Struthio camelus: one gene and its partners. The protein of the gene in region 1 purifies or fractionates together with the protein of each later gene. This does not show direct contact. Links are inferred from orthologs where the notes say so. Each region holds a gene or a part of one and is shown in the gene's direction. Other genes may lie near its edges. The genes, in order: COPS3, DDB2 and BTBD2.

What was found.
Region 2: the proteins of COPS3 (region 1) and DDB2 purify together in Homo sapiens (affinity purification with mass spectrometry; 7 studies listed by BioGRID and IntAct, with this or other methods). This does not show direct contact. The link is inferred for Struthio camelus from reciprocal best matches to the Homo sapiens genes COPS3 and DDB2.
Region 3: the proteins of COPS3 (region 1) and BTBD2 purify together in Homo sapiens (affinity purification with mass spectrometry; 3 studies listed by BioGRID and IntAct, counting the BioPlex papers as one, with this or other methods). This does not show direct contact. The link is inferred for Struthio camelus from reciprocal best matches to the Homo sapiens genes COPS3 and BTBD2.

The regions. Positions count from the first base shown.
Region 1 is NC_090956.1:4,026,517-4,033,567, forward strand, and holds the start of COPS3 (COP9 signalosome complex subunit 3), read left to right. Parts: upstream 1-4,035; 5' UTR 4,036-4,266; coding exon 4,267-4,321; intron 4,322-6,778; coding exon 6,779-6,908; intron 6,909-7,051. UniProt on the Homo sapiens protein: Component of the COP9 signalosome complex (CSN), a complex involved in various cellular and developmental processes.
Region 2 is NC_090946.1:39,425,664-39,432,790, reverse strand, and holds the start of DDB2 (DNA damage-binding protein 2), read left to right. Parts: upstream 1-4,036; 5' UTR 4,037-4,057; coding exon 4,058-4,201; intron 4,202-4,349; coding exon of another isoform or gene 4,350-4,429; exon of another isoform or gene 4,430-4,598; intron 4,599-4,710; coding exon 4,711-4,897; intron 4,898-7,127.
Region 3 is NC_090967.1:3,243,079-3,251,051, reverse strand, and holds the start of BTBD2 (BTB/POZ domain-containing protein 2), read left to right. Parts: upstream 1-4,908; 5' UTR 4,909-4,921; coding exon 4,922-5,511; intron 5,512-7,973.

The DNA.
Region 1 (7,051 bases):
CCCTCCGGGCACAGCCAGCGTGGACTGCAGCCACGCGTGCCCCGGCGTGCACCCCCTGCGGGCACAGCCAGGGTGGGCTGCAGCCACGCGCGCCCTGGCGTGCACCCCCTCCGGGCACAGCCAGGGTGGGCTGCAGCCACGCGTGCCCCGGCGTGCACCCCCTCCAGGCACAGCCAGGGTGGGCTGCAGCCACGCGTGCCCCAGGGTGCACCCCCTCCGGGCACAGCCAGCGTGGGCTGCAGCCACGCGTGCCCCGGCATGCACCCCCTCCGGGCACAGCCAGGGTGGGCTGCAGCCACGCGTGCCCCGGCGTGCACCCCCTCCGGGCACAGCCAGGGTGGGCTGCAGCCACGCGTGCCCCGGCGTGCACCCCCTCCGGGCACAGCCAGGGTGGGCTGCAGCCACGCGTGCCCCGGCGTGCACCCCCTCCGGGCACAGCCAGGGTGGGCTGCAGCCACGCGTGCCCCGGCGTGCACCCCCTCCGGGCACAGCCAGGGTGGGCTGCAGCCACGCGTGCCCCGGCGTGCACCCCCTCCGGGCACAGCCAGCGTGGGCTGCAGCCACGCGTGCCCCGGCGTGCACCCCCTCCGGGCACAGCCAGCGTGGGCTGCAGCCACGCGTGCCCCGGCGTGCACCCCCTCCGGGCACAGCCAGGGTGGGCTGCAGCCACGCGTGCCCCGGCGTGCACCCCCTCCGGGCACAGCCAGGGTGGGCTGCAGCCACGCGTGCCCCGGCATGCACCCCCTCCGGGCACAGCCAGGGTGGGCTGCAGCCACGCGCGCCCTGGCGTGCACCCCCTCCGGGCACAGCCAGGGTGGGCTGCAGCCACGCGTGCCCCGGCGTGCACCCCCTCCGGGCACAGCCAGCGTGGGCTGCAGCCACGCGTGCCCCGGCGTGCACCCCCTCCGGGCACAGCCAGCGTGGGCTGCAGCCACGCGTGCCCCGGCGTGCACCCCCTCCGGGCACAGCCAGGGTGGGCTGCAGCCACGCGTGCCCCGGCGTGCACCCCCTCCGGGCACAGCCAGGGTGGGCTGCAGCCACGCGTGCCCCGGCATGCACCCCCTCCGGGCACAGCCAGGGTGGGCTGCAGCCACGCGCGCCCTGGCGTGCACCCCCTCCGGGCACAGCCAGCGTGGGCTGCAGCCACGCGTGCCCCGGCATGCACCCCCTCCGGGCACAGCCAGGGTGGGCTGCAGCCACGCGTGCCCCAGTGTGCGCCCCTTCTGCACCCGCTCAGGGCACAGCCAGGGTGGGCTGCAGCCACGCGTGCCCCGGCGTGCACCCCCTCCAGGCACAGCCAGGGTGGGCTGCAGCCACGCGTGCCCCGGCGTGCACCCCCTCCGGGCACAGCCAGCGTGGGCTGCAGCCACGCGTGCCCCGGCGTGCACCCCCTCCGGGCACAGCCAGGGTGGGCTGCAGCCACGCGCGCCCCGGCGTGCACCCCCTCCGGGCACAGCCAGCGTGGGCTGCAGCCACGCGTGCCCCGGCGTGCACCCCCTCCGGGCACAGCCAGGGTGGGCTGCAGCCACGCGTGCCCCGGCGTGCACCCCCTCCGGGCACAGCCAGGGTGGGCTGCAGCCACGCGTGCCCCAGGGTGCACCCCCTCCGGGCACAGCCAGGGTGGGCTGCAGCCACGCGTGCTCCGGCGTGCGCCCCTTCTGCACCCGCTCAGGGCACAGCCAGGGTGGGCTGCAGCCACGCGCGCCCCGGCGTGCACCCCCTCCGGGCACAGCCAGGGTGGGCTGCAGCCACGCGTGCCCCAGGGTGCACCCCCTCCGGGCACAGCCAGGGTGGGCTGCAGCCACGCGTGCCCTGGCGTGCACCCCCTCCGGGCACAGCCAGGGTGGGCTGCAGCCACGCGTGCCCCAGGGTGCACCCCCTCCGGGCACAGCCAGGGTGGGCTGCACCGACGCGTGCCCTGGCGTGCACCCACTCCGTGCATAGCCAGGGTGGGCTGCGCACACGTGTGCCCCGGGGTGCGCCCCTTCTGCGCCCACTCCAGGCGGCCAGGGTGGGCTGCAGCCACGCGTGCCCCGGCGTGTGCCCCCTCCGCGCATAGCCAGGGTGAGCTGCACCCACACCTGGTCCAGGTGACATGCCACCGAGGCAATGCGGGTGGGAGATACCCACTCTGGGCGCTTGGTCCCAAAGGGAGGCAGCGTAGCGAGAGGTGGCACGACCCAGAGCTGATGTTCTTGGCCAAAATGCTTCGCTGCCGCAGTTTCCTGACTTCTCGCATGGGGCGAGACCCTTTCCTTCAGGGTGTCTGTGTTTCAGTGCCCCGCAACACCCGTTAATCTCCCCTTGCCTGCTTGTTGCCACAGACGCTCTCCCCTCTGCGGTGTCTGTCCATACCTGTTTTGGAGCTGATGTGCTAGTACATGTTTTGGGGCACAATGTGCATATGTAACCCATGCGATGATTTTGGCAGCTAAACCTTAACGTACAATATGTGTGTTTCTACCAATGCACAGAGAGGAGTTATACTTTGCCCAGATTTTCATTAGATATGATGCGGTTCTGCCCATATGGGTGACAGAAACTTTTAAAAGAAGGTATCAGGACCCAGAAGAACGCTTAAGATGTGACGATAATGTATGGTGCTACAAGAGTTGACATGTCATAAGTGGACTATGCAGAGAGGAACTCAAGGTATTAGATTTCTAAGGGCTGACTGTCACAGAAACTACCTGCTGTAAAGGTTTGTATGATCTTTGGTCATGCGTTAGAATAATGTGGTGAACAAAACATTTAGGGGATTAAAGCTGATGGAGAAGACTGCAGAGGGTGACTAACAAGATGAGGCAAGTGCTGAGCTGGGAAAGAGGAGATACTGGTTGATAGTAATAACAGGACTTTCCAATTCTAGAATATTTCATCTCAATTCCAGAATATTTTTCAGGGGAATATGTTATCCCTGTTTCACATAGAGGGCAAATGAGCTGCAGAGATCAAGTGATTTGGGTGACGGTCTCAGACTGAATAAAGAAAGGAACAGAATTCCTGACAGCCGTGTTGTACATAATGTAAAACATACAGAGAGGTTACGAGGGAAAGTCTGTGATGTTTCAAGTCCATATTCTGCTCTCGCTCACACCAGATGCATCATGCTCATGGCAAAGAACGGGATTTCAACATACCTGGCATTTCTAAGCAGCGAGAGAATGCATACACGTCATTCATGCCATAGAAAAAGGTTTCCTTGTTTGTGGTGTGTCGAAGGACATCCTCCCAGCCCCAACAAATTCCCTGCCCTTAGCAGCTCAGGACAGCGTACCGACAAGTTTGGCTCCGGTAGGGATGGAAAACATGCCTGCGATTATATAACTGAGTGAACAGCACTGCTCCTTGGAACCAACTATGCAAACGTTGTTCCCCGACAGGAGGCAACGTAACTGTACACGATCACTTGGCAGCCACTGAGTTCAGCCCCTGTAAGAGAGGTAACACAGCTACGAAGAACCAGGTCTCGTTATGAAGTCACTCCCCATGTGAAGGCGGGTAAAAACCCGCCACCGCACGAGAGCAGCACGCGAGGGGATTCGTGGGCAGGTGCTGTCGAGGCTCCCGCGGGAGCCGGCGGGAGGCAAGCGGCACCCGCCGCAGGCCCCACCGCCACGGCGTGACCGCCGCCGGCCCCGCGCGGGGGCTGACGCTTAACCTCCCGCGGGAAAGCCCTTCGCAGCGGGCAGGCCGTCGCCCTGGCTGCCCACCTCAGCTGAAGGACCGTCACTGCAGGCCGCGTGCACGTCTGACGTCGCATGGACGGCCGCATGACGTCACGCACTGGGGAGAAGCAGGGGGGGGCGGCCCGGGAACCCGAGGCGGGAGGCAGGCCCTGACACCGTGACGCAAGCAGGGGCGGGTGACGCCATCATGACGTCACCGGCCTCGCCTCCCAACCCTGCTGAGTCACGGCCTCCCGCACTAAGATGGCCTCCCGGGCCCGGGGAGCGGGGCGGGCGCTTCCGGCGGGGAGAGGAAGGCGGCGGTTGCCACGGCGACCACGGCGGGCGGGGTGGGCGGCCGCCGCTCTCGCGAGAGCAGGGGCCGCGGCGGAAGTGACGCGCGGCGGCGGGCGTCTCGCGGCTCCCGCAGCGGCGGCTGATTGGCCGGCGGCGGCAGCGCCCGTGCCGCAGGCCCCTTCCCGCTTCCCCCGCCGCTCCCGGGCCGGGCCGCCCCCTCCTGCCCTCTCTCCCTCCCTCCCTCCCCCGCCCGCCCCGCCCCGCCCGCAGCGCGCGCGCGGCCGCGCCGCCAGCCGCCAAGATGGCGTCGGCCCTGGAGCAGTTCGTCAACAGCGTCCGGCAGCTCTCGGCCCAAGGTGACCGCGGGGGGGAGCCGCGCGGGGAGCGGGGCCGCCCGCCGCCTCGCCCCGAGGCCGAGAGCGGCCTGGCCGGCGCCGCCGGGAGCCCGTGGGAGGCGGCGGCAGCGGCGGCGAGGGGAGGAGGGGGGCGGCCCGCGGCCTGCCCCGTCCCCCGGCCCTCCCTCAGGTGCGGAGGGCGCGGGCGGGCCCCCTGGAGCAGCGCTGCTGCGAGGAGCGGGGGGGGGCGGGCCCGGCCGGGCCCTCGCTCGCCCTCCGGGCGGGAGTTTTGGGGCCCCCTTACTGCGCCTTCAGAGGGGGCCCTGGAGGGTTGAGCCTGGGCCGGTTTGACAGGGCATGGTGGGTAGGCTGTGCCCTCCTTGCTCATCGCGTCCTCTCCCAGGGCAGCTGCAAACCAGTCTCTTTTTTTGGGGTAGTTAGAGCCCCCGGGTGAGTGAATTGAAGAAGATGCAGGCAGCTTTGCCAAAATCTAAGCCTTGGAATCAAGGGGAGGGGGAAGAGGTGACATAAGAGGGACCTTAACTGATAGGGTATACACTATCTTGTCACCGAACTGCTGAGCATATACATTTCAGGAGGAGTACGTTAAAGTACTCTTCTTCAGGTGGGCAAAACGGAATATGGGCAGAAAAACACCGCCTTTGTTTTTGGGGCACTGAAAAGCTCTTCTGTCTCCACTGCTGAGATTTTTTTTTTTTTTTGGCCTACCATAGAAGCATATGATAGATATGTATAGGCCTGAGACTATACATAGGAGTTCTCATAGCCGAGTGTTTGGAAGGTGTTTTAATATCCTCAGTTAGGCTTTCTCAGTTTTATCGCCAAACTCCTAATTTTCCTGTGTGTGGGTACAGTATTTCCTAGTTCTTGAATCTTCTTGCTGTACTGATGCTCCCGAAAGCGTGTTTTCTGTTTTTTCTCTGCATGGGACGTTTGCTCCCTGGACGTCATCAAGAACTGATACTTTCTTCTATGGCCCCAGGCTTTTTCTCTGGTAGTTATATTTGGGTAGAGCTCAATTTTTCTCTTGTTTTATGCTTTAACTCATCAAGTCTATAGAATTTATACTTGTGGTATCAGATGCAAGCGACAACTCGTGCCTGCAAGATCAGGTACAAAACAAACAAAACAACAAAAAAAAGGTGCTTCTTTGTACATATGTAGTTCAGCTGTGGACCTTCTTTTTGCAAGGTTTTGTGGATGCTAACTGCTCAAGAGGAAACGGGTCACTTCATGGAAGTTCTTCCATTAGGGATTAGCCAGCTAGGCACTTCTTATAAGGCAGGACATCCATGAGCACGAACTATTGGAGGTTATGAGAGCGTACAGGAGAAGTACGTATGCTTGCAGTGTTGTTCTCTGGTCGTCAGCGTTTGGTTGCATGGCAGATGAGATAAATAGACCTTTGTCTGACCCGATGTGGGTATTTCTACTTATAAAAAAATAAAAATAAAAAACTTGCACTTTAAAGGGGAGTCTAGGTGATAGCAGCAGAGCAGGTAGATTGCCCTTTTAGGGGGGATATAAGTTTTTTTTCATTACTCGCATAGTATTACCCTCATCTCATGATGATTTCTGTAAAGGTGTGATAACCTCTGCTGCTTCTTCTTTCTCCTTTTCTTTTCCAGGGATTGAAAATTGAAAAGAAATTCTGGTTTAGAAAGGGGAAAGCTTTTAAGTAATTTTGGGAAAAAAAAAAAAAAGATTTTTGAAAGCAGTTCATGATAATCTGTCTTTGCTTTCTTTGTAAGGTTTCTTGGTATAGCATACTTTCCTAATTCAAAATATTTGCCTTTCATGCTGTATTCATAGCTCCTGCAAATAAAATAACACTGTAGTTCTAACTATATGAAGTAAATTTTAAAGACACTTTCTTAACCCTCTAGTCTATATATTTAGTTGTAATTTCAAAAAAAAAAAAAGTTTATAAGCAGACCTGAAAAGGTTGATCTGGCACTTGAGAAGCAGCAAGTAACAAGGCCTGCTGTTGCAGTTTTTTTGGAAGGGAATACTAGTCTTGGAATTGTTTTTCCCTGTAATACCTAGAAGGCACAAGTGTAGATCACACTTGCATGAAACAGAATGTTGAATCACAGTAAACTGACCAAAGTCTTGGTGACTTAGCTCAAGTGAAGCTTCGTTTTGATACGAGATCCCTGAAGCCCTCTCTCCGATGAGGCAAGTTGATACTGGATTTCATGTTCTGTTTGTGCTCTTAGGGTTTTCTTCACAGTCTCAAGGGCCAGAAGCTTAACTGTTTCCTTTTAAAAATATTCTGTTGGCACCTCACTTGTTGAAAACCGTGCCTAGTATATTCCAAAAAAGTAATTTATCTGGGTAAGATTACTTTTTTTTTTTTTCCTCCCTCAGATTATAGAGGGAAGCAAGGAGTAATAAAGTATGGGAATGCCTGAGTGTTTTCTAATTAGAGCTTGACGACGATGTTTCATATTTCAGGGCAAATGACCCAGCTTTGTGAGCTGATCAATAAAAGTGGAGAACTGCTAGCAAAAAATCTCTCCCATCTGGATACAGTGCTTGGTGCCCTGGATGTGCAGGAACACTCATTAGGCGTCCTTGCTGTCTTGTAAGTGTTATTTGCCTTTAATTAAATCTCTTAGTATCAAAACCTCAGGAAACGTGATGAACTGTCAGCAAAACATCTTACTTATGGACATAAATATTTTCACTCCACCCTTCTTATAATGGTGCTTAATTTCCTTGTGTGAT
Region 2 (7,127 bases), on another chromosome or scaffold:
GCCGGCTGCCGGCGGCTTGCGGGGGGACCCGGCGCCCGCCGCCGCGACCTGCCGCGAACCGCGGAGCCCTCCCGGCCCGGCCCCGGCCCCGCCGCTCCTACCAGCCGCTGTCCGCGCCGCCGCCGCCGCCCCGCTCCCCGCGGGCAACGACCGGCCGGGCAGCGCCTCCCCCACCCGCCCCCTTTCCGTGAGGAAACTTTTCCCTTGAAGCCGCCAGCTGGTTTGCCGCGCCGAGCTGCCCCACCGCCTCCCACCGGGAGGAGGCGGCGGCGGGGACCGGACCGGGCTCTGCCCCCGCCCCGGCCCCCCGCGGCGAGCAGGTCGGGAAGCGGCGGCGGGGGCGACCCTCACACCTACCTCGCGGCGCGGCACGGCGCGGAGCGGAGCAGGGCGGCGGGCGGGCGGCCACCTGGGCTGGGAGCGGGCCGGGCCCTCCCCCTATTTCAGCCGCGGGACACGGGGGCTCCCGGCCCGCCTCCCGCCGCCAGCGGCTGCCGGCGGGGCGGGCCCGGCCCGGCCCGGGCACTCGGGACGCGGCGCGGCGCCCCCGCCCGGAGCTCCCGATCCAATTAAGGGGCTGTGGGCCGGGGGAGCGGGGCCCCCGCCGCAGGGGGGCTTCTTCTCCGGGTTTTCTAGGTTGGCGTTTCTGCTTTTTGGTGCCGCTGTTAGGGACTGGGCGACAGCAGCCGGGCGGCGACCCGCGGGGCGCGCAGCAGCCCCTCGCTGGCAGCCCCTGGCGCGTCGGGCCTGGCCCCGCGCGCCCGCCGCCGCCGCCGCTCTCGCCCGGTGCCCTGCTCCCGGCCCTCCCGGCCAGCCTCCGCCGCGCCGGCCCGGCTCGGTCGCTCGCTCTCTTTTCCTCTGAAAAACATTTTCTGCCTCATCCACAGCTCACCTCTAAGTCCCCGCAGCCCCTCGGGTGACACCAGCTCCTTCCGAGCGCCGGGAGCTCGCGCGCCAGAGTTTCCATTTCCAACCCCGGCCTTGGGCGTGATTTGCCATGACGCTAGGGCAGGGCTTACGCCAGGCGAGCTGCGAGGCCTGGCTGGCCCCTTGCCCCTACTTTGCTTCCAAGCGACTTGGGACACAGCGCCAAGGAGCGAGTTCACAATGACGTTTATTCAATCGGTGGAGAAAGGGAAGACGGAGCGCCTCACAGAAGGAAGAGCGTGCCACACATCCGTGCTCCTGCTTCTTCGGAGTGCTACCGTGCGAGGAAGTCCTGTGTTGGAAAGCAGATGTTAGAAACCATTCTGCTTAATTTGCTTTGGCCCCGATCCTTTGCTCGCTTTTAATGCGCGTGGAGTTCCCGGGGAGATGGGCACCCGCAAGAAGTCCCTGAGTTGGTGTTACAATGAGTATCCTTTCAAAAAGTGACGCGAGATCTTTAACTTATCCTAAAAGTTAATCATAGCTGAAAATATAAGCACCAACTTCATATTCGACTGAAAAAAAAAAACGGTGTTTGGCATAGATGCTCCCTAATTCGAGATTTCCTTTCCATCATCAATTTTATGTACATTAATGAAGAGCAGAAAAAGGAAAAAAATCTGTCATAGATTAATATGCTACATCCAGCATTTATCCTGTGTTTTCATATGCTGATTTTCATACTGGTTTTGATATTGATAGCCATGCACAGAGCATCTAAAATAGATGCTTTCCATTTGGGGATCTGGCCCTCTGCACCCTTTCACCAACACTGATTAAATGGCATGGGTCCTGCATGACGTGGCAGCTTCACGCCTTTCCTCTAAGGCTGGAATAGCTTTGGGAAAATGGATTGCTCAGGTAAATGAGGTGATTAAAACAGTGACTTTTTTGTCTGTTTTCCCATTACCTGGCAGCTTAGTTAAGGTCATGGGCTAGAAGGAGGTCGGAGAGCATGATACTTACTCTCTCTTGTATCTCTTGAGGATTATAGGTTTTTTCCTACTTTTTAGTAGAACACAGGCTCGCTTCCACATGCAGGCCAAATTCAAGTTGCTGTGATGGTACTCTTTACATGAGTAGTCACGCTAAAGCAGCCAAAACCATTCATGCTTTGGAAAAAGATCCTGGCAACAAGGAGGCAAAATACCTAATACTATTACATACACCATCAAGTTGATGGTCTTAATGGCAGTATAGCTTTACCAGACCTGGTAACGACACTGCTGTATTCTCTGTTGGAGAGCCATGCATAACCAAGGCAGAACTTTACTAAAATCATAGGTCAGACAAAAGGCATCGTAAAAATAAGACTCATATCCTGCCCACCCGTAATTATACTTGCCTGACTTTGCTGCATACATTACTACTATCGGGTCTGAAGAGTGTGAGACTGTAAATACATTTAAGAACATTTTTCCAATTACTCTTTCTCTGGACTGCTCAGCATGCAGCGTGTCCTTCGTACCGTACCAGCACAGCGATACTTATCTCTGGAACCCTGGGTCAGTGGGGTTTCTTTTATCTGCATATGTTATCTGCTCTTCTTGTCCGTAGTAAATAGTAATTACAAAACTATCTGGCGACTCTCTAGAGGGAAAGCAAACTTGGTGTAATTGATTAAAAAAAGGACAGCCCTGATTGACAGCTCAAAGCGGGAAATCCCTAGGTTACTATGCATGTTCTCTGCCCGAGGAAGCTCACCCTGGAGGCAGAGGAATGGAAGGGGGATAGGAAGTGCACATCTTTGCTGGAAATAACTTGGATAACAGGATCAGCGTTTACTTTGGGAGCAGTACATAGATCATGGAAATCAGTAGATGTCTTTCAATCCACTTGAAGACGACTGGGATCGAGGCCTGTTTTTTCCAGTTACAAACATAGCTACGTACCCTTTTAAAGTATCTGAAAAGCAGATGTTAAGAATTACATAGTTTAATTTGAAATTTATTGGTGATTCCTGATGAACTCCACAGATTGTGCCTCCTCCTCCGATGACTTCCGCAAACCTGTGGACGAAACTGCTAATCACTGTTACGAGAAGAAGGATATTTTCCCATGTTATTTCCCTTCTTAGAAATCAAGCCTTCAAGGCTTCTGAGGGCTGAAGGCAAGTACTACTTTGAATTATTACTAACAGTATTTCTTGTTAATGGGTAAGTTCTCAGAACAATGTTATGTATTATAAAAATGCTTGATAAAACATGTCAACCTAATTAGCAAATGTGTTAATATGTTCTCAAAGACATTAAGTGCTGTCTGTCAGGGGTTATGACTTTTTCTATGTTATTCTGATACTTAGTCCTAGGGTGCCAGGAACTAATACAGTGTTGTTATAGTTCAGCAAAAAAAGTCCAGCGTGTGGTTTGGGTCCCTGTTGTTTCTTTTGGTAATTTTTCTATGCATTTTCTAAGATAGCAAAAAAAAAAAAAACAACCACCCAACAACAACCCAAGGAGTGGTGACAGCTATTTTAGGACCTGGGTTCAACGGCAGCTGTGTGGATGACCGGACCTTAATCACTCGGCATAGCTGCTGGTGGACCTGAAGCAGGGGGTGCCCCCGCTCCCGGCGGCGGGGGCGCCCACCGAGGCCCCGGGGCGGCCGTCGCTGGTGGCGCTCGGGGCTCCCGCCGCCTCGCGGCTCGCCGTTCGCCTTCCTGGCGCGCTTCGTTGCACAAGAGCCAGCAGTGCCCGAGTCACCTTGCCGCGCATTAGAAATTACTGCGTAACCCACGCTGCTGGGACTTCTCTACCTACCTTTAAAGAGCCTACCTTTTTTTTTTTTCTGCAGTTGAGTCCCAACACAACTCAGCCCTCAGATATGTCTTCTTGAGAAAGCTGTATTTTGAAGCAGTATCTTTTTTTTTTTTTTTTTTGGGGGGGGGGGTTGCTACAGGCCCCTGCCAGGCTGCTGCAATAGGCCAAAGCGGCGCTCTGTTTAAAAAAATAACAATTAAAAAGAAAAAAAAAGCATGTAAGGCTAGAAGACCTGTGCCCCCCAAAATAATAATAAGCTGCCAGGCGGCCGCCGCAGACGTAACAGCACCTTTGGCCCCGGCGCGGCCGAGCGCGGAGCCGGGCGGCGGCTGTGCGCCGGGGCCCGCCGCCAGGGGCCGGGCCGGGCCGCCATGGCGGGGGCGCCGGCGGCCTGCGGGCTTACCGCCGCCGCGGAGGCGGAAGAGCCGCTAGCCCGCTTCCCCGCCCCGCTTATGAAACGGCCGGGGAGGTGCCCGCTGCCGCCGGCCGGGGGAGCCGAGGCCGCCGGAGCCCAGGTGAGAGGCAGCGGCCGGGCGAGGCCTGGCGCCGGCGGGTGGGTGCAGGAGCGGGCGGCGGGCGGCGGGGGCGGCGGCCTGGGCGCTGCTGCGGGCGGTGCGCTGCAGGCCGCGTCGTCTTCGTAAAAGCTCCGGTCTCTCCCCTTAGCTGCCCCCCAAGAGGTCTCAGTGAGCTCCCGGAGAAACCAGCTACGGCGTTACGTGGTGTCCCAGCGGTACTTTACGCAGGTCTGTGGGTTTTAAGCTTAAAAGCTCCGCGGAGGCGTTTGTGGCCCGAACACAACTCGGGTGCCCTGGGGTGCGTTCGTTTTCACGTGCGAGCAAGGAAGAGGTTATTGAACCTGCTCCGGTAGAGCGCAACGCGAGGGCAGCGCCAGGCGGATGGAGGAGGGCGCAGGTACAGTCACTGCGTCCAGACCGCTGGGACGTGTTTCAGTCCCCTTTTCTCCTCTGTCTTCCGGCTAAAAAGCGTATGGCAGCCTTACCTTCCACGCTTTGTTCGCTTTCAGTGGTCAGACAGAATGGCTCTGGAGAACCAGCCCAAGGACAAGAAGCATGTGAGGACACATGAGCATCAGCTAGCAGAACTGGCAAAATCAGCTGGGAAAAGGAAACAAGACTATGAAGAAATAGAGAACGAGCCACAAGCAAAGAGGTTGTTTGTGAGAAAAACGTCCAAACCCCCAGAGAAAATAGGTAACGTTTCCTCAGGTTCTTGCTGGTTTTGCCAGGCAGATTTACCCTAAATGACAGGCATCGACTAGCTGAAGAGGGAAGATGCCAGCAAGCCTGCAGCCTGTTCAAACACGAGCGTTTGGATTGGATTATATTAAGGATTAAGGATTAAGTGATACACAGATGCGTGGTGGGGTATTACAGTCTCCAGTTATCTGTCTAATGAGCGTGCATGTGTATGCATGTTTCATTTTTGAAAGTTGCTACCCTTGCTGGACGCCTGCTCACTGAAGTCTCTGTCGCAGCTCACGGGAGGGTGATTAAGTTCTGTGGAATTCCTGATTTACCAGATGTCTGCTTTATTGTAGGACAGACCGATCCCTGTAATGTATTGTTTTTGTCATGTAGTTCTTAATGCAGTTTCATAATCGTAAGCTTGGTATCCTACAGTTTAGCATACAGTCTAAACTGGCATATTCTTTGCATATTCTGACTTTACCTACAGTAGGCAGGAAGGCTACATCCTTTCTACCTCTATATTTAGGTATTTATATTAGACTGGACAGAATTCCACTAATCACTTCTCCACATCTGCTTTTTTTTTTTTTTCTCTTGTATGTAATTTAGGAAAACGTCTCTTAAACGTTTTTGCTATGATGAGACGGAGCTGGTTGAGTTCGTAGATATTGGAAAGATTCATGCTTTGCATTGTCAGGAGAGTTGTATAGACTTCGGTTAGACTAACGATTGTTTTCATGTTTCTACGGGCATTATTTTTTTGATTCCACGTTTTGCTTAGGAGACCAGTAGAGTTATTGCCTGGTGTGGAAATAGTATACACTTTCTGTGCCTTTTTTTTTGTTTTGTTTTTAAGATCCAGAAATTACTGTAGGGTTTTTTTTTTTAATATTTGGAGATACAGGAGTTCTGCCATTTTGTACATTCACATTCTCTGATGTGTAACTCCAACCTTCAGATCAGTTGACAGTGTGAATAGTGAATGAAGATAAAATATTCTGTTTAAAAGGAGTTCTGCTTATGATGGTGGATAATTAACACTTTTTTAGTTAATTTAGCTACAAGATTTTTACTGTAACTTCACGGCCTGATTTTCAGATTTGGTGAGTTTTGCAGTTCCCATAAGATTCAGAGGGAATTGGAAGTGGCTAGTACTTTGGGAAAACGAGGCCAAGCTTATTTTTCCCTTACACCTTTCTTAAAAACAAGAAGACAAAAACTTTTGCATTTGAGCTTTTCCGTTCTGTGTCCCAATTTTGATTTTTATGTACTTTGGAAAACATGATTTTTTTCCCCAAGTAACATAAGAGAGATTCAGTTTCTTGCAATCAAAAACATTTCTTCCCCTGGATTCAGAAAAGTCCGAAAGTTTCTCTTCTTAACAAATTATCCTTCCTAACAAAACTGAATCTGAAAAAATACCCCTCTAGTATCACCTTTGAAGAAAGTACTGAAGATGCTAACTCTTCTGTGAAAACGAGGAATTTGAATGGAGATGTTTTTATATCTATTTCAGCAGGTGTGACACATGCCTGCTATGCTGGCATGTGAATAAAGAAGTTTAGTGTCACACCACTGCATCTCTAGGCTACAGTGTTGCATTAAAGAAAGATTTCCTTTACTGTCTCGTCATGAAGGATGATGTCTGTGTTTTGGTCCTATTTTATTATTAATATCCTGACATGAAAATAGGATTTTTGTTTCTTAAGAAATGCTTCCTTGCCATTTGACATCTAGATCCCCTGGGGTGTTATGGACCATTGCTGTGGGAACGATTAGATCACAGACATGGGACTGAACGGATCCTGTTTTCATGCAAAGGTCCCTGAAGATAAAACTTGGAACACGAACAAAATGTCGAAGCAGTCTGTGCTCTCAGCAAAACTCACGCTGAACAGAAAGGTTTTCAGGCGATGAGGCGTCAGCAAGTCTATTATCAAAAACCAAACTCGCAGTGCTGTAGGCAGGCTGTATGGGCTACAGCACAAGCAGATCGAATGTTCTGATTCACGAGCAGGCGTTTCAGGAACTGCATGGGAACTCCTGTGTTACTACGCTTGGGGAATTTTCAGGTGGTGGTGTTCTGCTGGTCACAAGTCTGACCTTCCCTCTGCTATAAGCTCACCCCCTCCCACTGCACGTTTCCAAGTCATTGGCGGGGGTTAGGTAGCTTTGTTGTATTTGGGTAGGTTGTAAACTATCCGAGAGAAGTACCACCTGTGGCATGTCCTTA
Region 3 (7,973 bases), on another chromosome or scaffold:
ATCAGGCTCTCCAGCCGCACTGATTTCATGACCCTCAGCTGCTTGTAGCTTGCTCTTGTGCAACCAAGAACCTCCAGCCCTGTATTTGGTCAGCCTTCGGCAACTGAATTAAACTGACTCCTCCACCCAGAGCTATTACTGTGGTTCGGGTGTCTATCATATTATGTATAGTTCCTTATCAAAACCTAGTCTAAAATAGCACTGGCTTTTGCTGAGTGCCTTATTTGTGAAGAAATCTGTTGGCTGTCACATCCAGGAATAACAGCGCCTTGGTCCTGGGACGTTGCAGCAAACACCTTGCCCCATCCCACAGAGCTTGCTGTAGGCTCCCCTGCCAAGGTGACAGTGACCTAAATGGCTTTCTGTGCTATCCATATTATCCCTTCTTATTTCTGTGTTTCTTTACGCTGGGCCTGGTTTTACCTGCACAATAGGAATTGTTCTTCATTTATTCATCAATTGTTCTCTATTTATTCATCACACGGTGAATAAATAGGATCTGTCTAATGAGCTGCGGCATGGCCCATATGATGGGTAGAGCACAGAAAGGAGCGGAGGAGCCCTGGAGCTCAGAGTTGAACAGATTGAATAGCTCCAAATGCAGTCAGTGGGGAGGGATCACCTGCCCAAATCTCTCACCAGGCCCCAAATCAGCAAGAGGGCTCAGGGTGGGGGGGAGGTGCTGAATCCCCTCCTTGCATGTTGGAGAAGCTGGCACCCTCCCTGTGAGATGCACCGACCCCTTGGAGATATCATTTCTCGAGGATGGCCCAGCCTTGGATTTGCTGGGGTTTGGGAAGGGGGATATGACAGGAGAGAGGCTTTGTCCTCCTCCACCTCTGTCCCCATTAGCAGTGGCCAGATGGATGTTCACGCACCTCCTAGGTGCGGAGGCCAGGCCAGGCCTCCTTGGCCAGGCCTTTTTCTGACCTTCATGGAGCCTAAGGGCTGTGGGGACACACCGGCTGGTGCACATCTGCCCTAGAAAAGCCAACCAGGGTGCAAGAAAACGTAATTCCGAGTCTTCCAGGCCTGCGCTGGGGTGCATGCTGCAGTCTTTAGCTCCCTCTAACGTTTATCGCCCGAATGAAGCATCCAATGGCCTACGAGGACAGAGCCGGGACTGGACAGCCTCCCTACTGGCAGCTGCCAGATATGTGGATATTGTTTTTGAGAGTAAAAGTACTATGCTAAGATGCATAGAAGCAGCCTGTCCAGCAACGGGGTGTGAGCCTGCGATGTGTTGAGCAAACGGCATGAAAAACACAAAGTTTTAAAAAAGAGAACACTTCTGCACTTAATGCTCAGTTATCATTAACATAAGAAAGATTTCAAATGAAAAAGAAAAACGTCCCTCTAAAGTAAGGCTCTTACTCATTCCTACATGCACAGACTACACACCAGAGGGGACTGTTACGACAGTCAGCTCTGAACTCCAGCATAACTGGAGGTTGCAGGAGTTTCCTAGATTAGTTCATTTGAAGTGCAACACAGTTTTAAAAAAATCCAGTGAAACCTGCCAGTGGGGGAGATTTCACCACACCTGTACCTACTCCAGTCATTGTCCCCCCCTCCCAAAACACAGCACAGCCCTCTAGGCTGTTCTTCAACCAGTCAGCAGAACTTTTTATTTCCTCCTGTTAGATGCAGGGAGAGGCTACTACTGAAGTTTTTGTACCTCGGGTAGTAATGAATTGCAGCCAACTCACTCCTTAACCTTCTTTTGGTTAAGCTACATGCTGCACCTCTGGAGCCTTTGACAACAAGGAGTGTTATCCAAACCTTTCATCATTTTTTCTGACCAGTGTCACAGGGCTCAGGGCAAACGCTCTGCTGCAGGGCTAGAGGCAAACACGATCATTGCTCTTTGCTGGGGCTCTCAAGTGGCACTTTGGTACCAAAATCCTTTCGTGTTGTAACACGAGACTTGACCATGGAACTATTAACTCTGGAAAGCCTCTCATAAAGGATCCTCTGCCAGACTAAGCCCCTACTTTGCCTCTAGAACCTGTCTGCGTATATTTGTTTAACACTACTATACGTAACGCAGCAGGCATATGATATGTATTTGAGAACATGATACAAAACCAGACTGGCAGCTCTTGATCAAAAACAACGGTGTAATAGTATCACTGGGCTAGGCCCTGGCAATGTCTGGCTACAGCGATTGATCTGTGAGAGTCCCGAGCTACACAAGAGTCTCTAAGCCTTGAATCGATATAAACAGCATGCCATCGTGTATTAAAGAAATGATAACGCAAAACTGCAGAAAACAGAAGGGGAGGACAATACGTCTCCTTACTCAATAGTTACTGAGCACGTTGAATCAAGGACCGCACATTTGCTCTCAAACGCACGTGCACGCACCTCTAAGAGGCAAACACAGATCAGGGAGCGGATAACAGAGAAAGGGGGAATGTAATTACCCCATGAAGAATAAATCACCTTTGCTTTAATGGTTCAGTTACTGAGATCACAGTAAGGCAACGGCAGAGCCTCTTAATTATTTTTCTGCCTTTCAGATTCCTCCTGTCCTCCGTGCCATGTCATACCTCATGCTGGCTGGCAAGGAGATAAATATCTGTTGTTATCTGTGTGCCGGCATGCATTGCTGCAGAGCTATCTTGCAGGGCAGAGGAAGGGAGCGCACCAACATCTCGCAGGATCTCTACAGCCACAGTGAGGTGGCAGCAGCGTGTATCAGGTGAGGGATGAGGCCTGCGTGCAGCAGCCTTTCCTGCACGAAACTCCCCGGTAGCAGGCGTTAATGCTGTGCTTGCGGGGAAGCAGGTCCTGTGCGTCAGCAGAAGCAGCCAGTCCCTCCGGGCTAATTATTTTGAGGAATTACTGGGCACCAATTGCCGTGTCCTTGGGATGCCAGGGAAGTTTGGGTCTCTGCTTTATAGGAAAAGGCGGTTTGTAAGAGCAGGAAGGTGACACAGGAGCCCCCCTCGCACCCAACTCTCTGCCCTCCCCAGCCCCCCAAACTGCCCACCCCAATCCAGGTTGCCCCTCTGGCCCCACACCCCCACTCCACATACCCCTGCACCCCTGCCTCCTCCCCAGACCCCCTCACGTTTCCTCTCACCTGGGACTGCCCCACACCATGGCCCACATCTCCCACACCCTTCACCCCCCAGGACGGTCCCTCCAATTTCTCATCCCCATTCACCCCTCATAAACCCCAGAACTGCCCCCTCACCCCCCCAAAATTCCCTCCCCCACAGGATTGCCCCTGCACCCCCATCCCTCACACCCCCCCGAGCTGCCCCCCCCTCAGCCCCACAGCCCTCACGCTCCAGAATTGCCCCCTGCACCCGCACCCCTCTCAGTACTGTCCCCCCCCATGTCCCCTCCAACCCCACCCCGGCCCTATACCCCCCCCGAACTGCCCCTCTCAAGGACTGCCCCTTGCTCCCCCCCAACCTGCCCCTCACGTAGCTGCCCTCCTACCCCCTGGATCTGCCTCGTGGCTGTTGCCCCCCTCATCCCTCAGAACTGCCCCCCTCAGCCCCCCCATCCCCCAGAACTGCCCCTCTCGGGACTGCCCCCCTTCATGCCCCACATCTGCCCCCTCTGGCCCAGAAATGCCCTTCACGAGGGTGTTGCCCTCGCCCCCCAGATCTGCCCTCTCACGCCCCAGACCTGCCCCTCTCAGGATTGCCCCACTCACCCCCCCAATCTGCTCCCCACCCCCAGATCTGCCCTCAGGGACTGCGCCCCTCACTGCCCAGAACTATGCCCCACTCCCCCAAATCTGCCTCTCCTTCTCCAGGCTTGCCTCCCACCCCCCAGACCTGCCCCCCTCATGCCCCAGACCTGCCCCATCCCCCAAATCTGCCCCCCACCCCCCAGACCTGCTCCTCACGACATCGCCCCCCCATCCCCCAAATCTGCCCCCCACCCCCCAGACCTGCTCCTCACGGGATTGCCCCCCCATCCCCCAAATCTGACCCCCAGTCCCCAGACCTGCCCCTCACGACATCGCCCCCCCATCCCCCAAATCTGACCCCCAGCCTCCAGACCTGCCCCTCACGGGATCGCCCCCCCATCCCCCAAATCTGCCCCTCAACCCCCAGACCTGCTCCTCAGGGATTGCCCCCCCCATCCCCCAAATCTGCCCCTCAACCCCCAGACCTGCCCCTCACGGGATCGCCCCCCCATCCCCCAAATCTGCCCCCCACCCTCCAGACCTGCTCCTCATGGGATCGCCCCCCCCATCCCCCAAATCTGACCCCCACCCCCCAGACCTGCTCCTCACGGGATCGCCCCCCCCATCCCCCAAATCTGCCCCTCAACCCCCAGACCTGCTCCTCAGGGATTGCCCCCCCCATTCCCCAAATCTGACCCCCACCCCCCAGACCTGCTCCTCACGGGATCGCCCCCCCATCCCCCAAATCTGACCCCCAACCCCCCAGACCTGCTCCTCACGGGATCGCCCCCCCATCCCCCAAATCTGACCCCCAACCCCCCAGACCTGCTCCTCACGGGATCGCCCCCCCATCCCCCAAATCTGCCCCCCACCCCCCAGACCTGCTCCTCACGGGATCGCCCCCCCCATCCCCCAAATCTGACCCCCAACCCCCCAGACCTGCCCCTCAGCGATCGCCCCCCGGCCCCTCACAGCCCTCCCCACACCCGGAGCTGCCCCCGGCGCGGGGCGGTGCGGTGCGGCCCCGCCCGCCGCTGCCACCGCCGCTGCCACCGCCGCCGCCGCCGCCGCCCCTTCCCTCCCCTCCCCTCCCGCCGCCGCCGCCACCGCCCCTGCCGCCGCCGCCGCCGCCCCTCCCGCCGCCGCCCCTCCCCTCCCGCCGCCGCCCCTCCCCTCCCCTCCCCTCGCCTCCCCTCCCGCCGCCGCCGCCGCTCCCTCCCCTCCCCTCCCTCCCCTGGCCCGGCCGGCGGCGGCGCCGCGCCGAGCCCCATGCGCCGCTGCTGCCCGGCTCTCTGCATCCACAGCAGCAGCCGCGGCGCCGCCCGCCCCGCCGCCATCGCCGCCGCCCCCCTCCTGCTGCCCGCCGCCGCCGTGTCCCGCCCGCCGCCGCTCCTGGTGCTGCTGCTGCTGCAGCGCCGCCCCGCGCCGCCCGCTGCTGCGCCTCCGCCGCACAAGATGGCGGCCGGTGGGAGCGGCGGGGGCCCCGGGGGCCTCTCCTCCTCCTGCCCGCAGCCGCCGCCGCCGCCGCCGGGCAACGGCGCCGCCGCCGCCGCCTGCACCAACGGCGCCCCCTCCTCGCCGCCCGGCCTCACCTACAACCAGTGCGGGGCCGCCAACCCGGCGGCGGGCGGCGGCGGCGCGGGGGGCCCGGCGGCGGCGGCGGCGGCGGCGGCGGCCGGGGGGGCCGGCGGGGCGGGCGGCCCCGGCGGGGCGCTGCAGCGGGAGCCCGTCTATAACTGGCAGGCGACGAAGCCCACGGTGCAGGAGCGCTTCGCCTTCCTCTTCAACAACGAGGTGCTCAGCGACGTGCACTTCCTGGTGGGCAAGGGCCGCGGGTCGCAGCGCATCCCGGCCCACAGGTGGGCACCGCGCGCCGGGGGCCCCGGCGGCCGAGCCGGCGGGGCGGGCAGGGCAGCGGGGGAGGCCTCCCGCCCGGCCCCGCGTGGGCGCTGCGGGCAGCGGGGGGGCTGCGGCGGGGCCGCGGGCCCGGGGACCCGGGTGTCGGAGCCTGACCCGGGAGGGGGGGTGCAGGCCTTTGGGGTGCCGGGGACCCGGGTGTCGGAGGCTGGCCGGGGGGGGGGGTGGTACAGGCCTTTGGGGTGCCGGGGACCCGGGTGTCGGAGGCTGGCCGGGGAGGGGGGGTGCAGGCCTTTGGGGTGCCGGGGACCCGGGTGTCGGAGGCTGGCCGGGGAGGGGGGGTGGTACAGGCCTTTGGGGTGCTGGGGACCCGGGTGTCTGAGCCTGGCCAGGGAGGGGGGGTGGTACAGGCCTTTGGGGTGCCGGGGACCCGGGTGTCGGAGGCTGGCCGGGGAGGGGGGGTGCAGGCCTTTGGGGTGCTGGGGACCCGGGTGTCGGAGGCTGGCCGGGGAGGGGGGGTGCAGGCCTTTGGGGTGCCGGGGACCCGGGTGTCGGAGGCTGGCCGGGGAGGGGGGGTGCAGGCCTTTGGGGTGCCGGGGACCCGGGTGTCGGAGGCTGGCCGGGGAGGGGGGGTGGTACAGGCCTTTGGGGTGCCGGGGACCCGGGTGTCGGAGGCTGGCCGGGGAGGGGGGGTGGTACAGGCCTTTGGGGTGCCGGGGACCCGGGTGTCGGAGGCTGGCCGGGGAGGGGGGGTGCAGGCCTTTGGGGTGCCGGGGACCCGGGTGTCGGAGCCTGGCCGGGGGGGGGTACAGGCCTTTGGGGTGCCGGGGACCCGGGTGTCGGAGGCTGGCCGGGGAGGGGGGGTGGTACAGGCCTTTGGGGTGCCGGGGACCCGGGTGTCGGAGGCTGGCCGGGGGGGGGGTACAGGCCTTTGGGGTGCTGGGGACCCGGGTGTCGGAGGCTGGCCGGGGAGGGGGGGTACAGGCCTTTGGGGTGCCGGGGACCCGGGTGTCGGAGGCTGGCCGGGGGGGGGGGTACAGGCCTTTGGGGTGCCGGGGACCCGGGTGTCGGAGGCTGGCCGGGGAGGGGGGGTGGTACAGGCCTTTGGGGTGCTGGGGACCCGGGTGTCTGAGCCTGGCCAGGGAGGGGGGGTGGTACAGGCCTTTGGGGTGCCGGGGACCCGGGTGTCGGAGGCTGGCCGGGGAGGGGGGGTGGTACAGGCCTTTGGGGTGCCGGGGACCCAGGTGTCGGAGGCTGGCCGGGGAGGGGGGGTGGTACAGGCCTTTGGGGTGCTGGGGACCCGGGTGTCGGAGGCTGGTTGGGGGGGGGAGTCCTGTCCTTTGGGGTGCCCAGGGACTCAGGCATCCGAGCTTGGCTGGGGGTGGCTGGAGGGGGTTGTACAGGCCTTTGGGGTGCCCAGGGACTCAGGTGCCCAAGCCTGGCTGGGGGGGGGGGAAAGGTGGGGGGGTACAGGCCTTTAGGGTGCCTAGGGACCCAGGCAACTGAGCCTGGCCAGGGGAAGGAGGAGGTGGGGAGGGTACAGGCTTTTGGGGTGCCGTGGGGCTGGGACCCAGGCATCTGAGCCTATGGGGGGGGCAGGAGGGAGCATCCTCCGGGCGCCTCAGCCAGGCACTGTGCAGATGCTTTGGGGTGCCCCAGGGAGGCCCAGCCGGGCGTGGGGTGACGGGTGCCTTCCTGGCCCTGTGGGCCTGGCTGGATGCTGAGGAGGAGCGTGGCTTGCGAAAGAGAGCGGGGGGCCGGAGCTGGCGGGAGGCACGGGCTCTGCTGCGGGACAGGGATCGGGGATTGCTGTGGCTCCCCGATGCCTTCTGGGGGGTGATGTGCCATCGGCTACTGCTGGGGTTTGACAGGGGTTGGGCTTCTCTCCCCTCCCGAAAGCAAAAATAGAGATCAGGTAACTTTGCTCTGTGTTTTATCTGTTGTTGCGAGCCGCTAACCGGAGGGTGCGCGCCCCAGCGGTAACGTGATAGCCAGGCCCGTCTCCGCTCTGCAAAACCATGGCCTCCGACGCCTCGGAGACCCGGTCTGGCAGGGATGGATGGAGCAGGGATCACCGGGTCCGCGGCGATCCAGAGCTGTGGTTTAGTCTTTGACGTGGTCCTAATGGTGTGGACGTGCTTAGGGGTGACTCTGCTTTCTGGGTTGGTCGGCTGTTGTTGCATCAAATCTCTCCAAACCCTCAGATTTGACTTAATGTTTCTTATTAGGCTTCCCAAATCGTGTGGCAGGGTCTGACTTCCAGTCGCGCAGTGTTTTCCCTGAAGGGTAGGTGTGACCGAGGTGTGTTGGCTGAGCAGCCAGCAGAAGCACAGCAGGAAAAAACAAATCCGTAGGTTTCCCTCGGAAGCAGTCCTTGTTTTTACGGGTGGCGGTGGAGAGGAAGAACGTTCTCCAAGATTGTTTGGCCCTCGTCAAAGGACACAGGGATCGGTGTGTGCGTTGG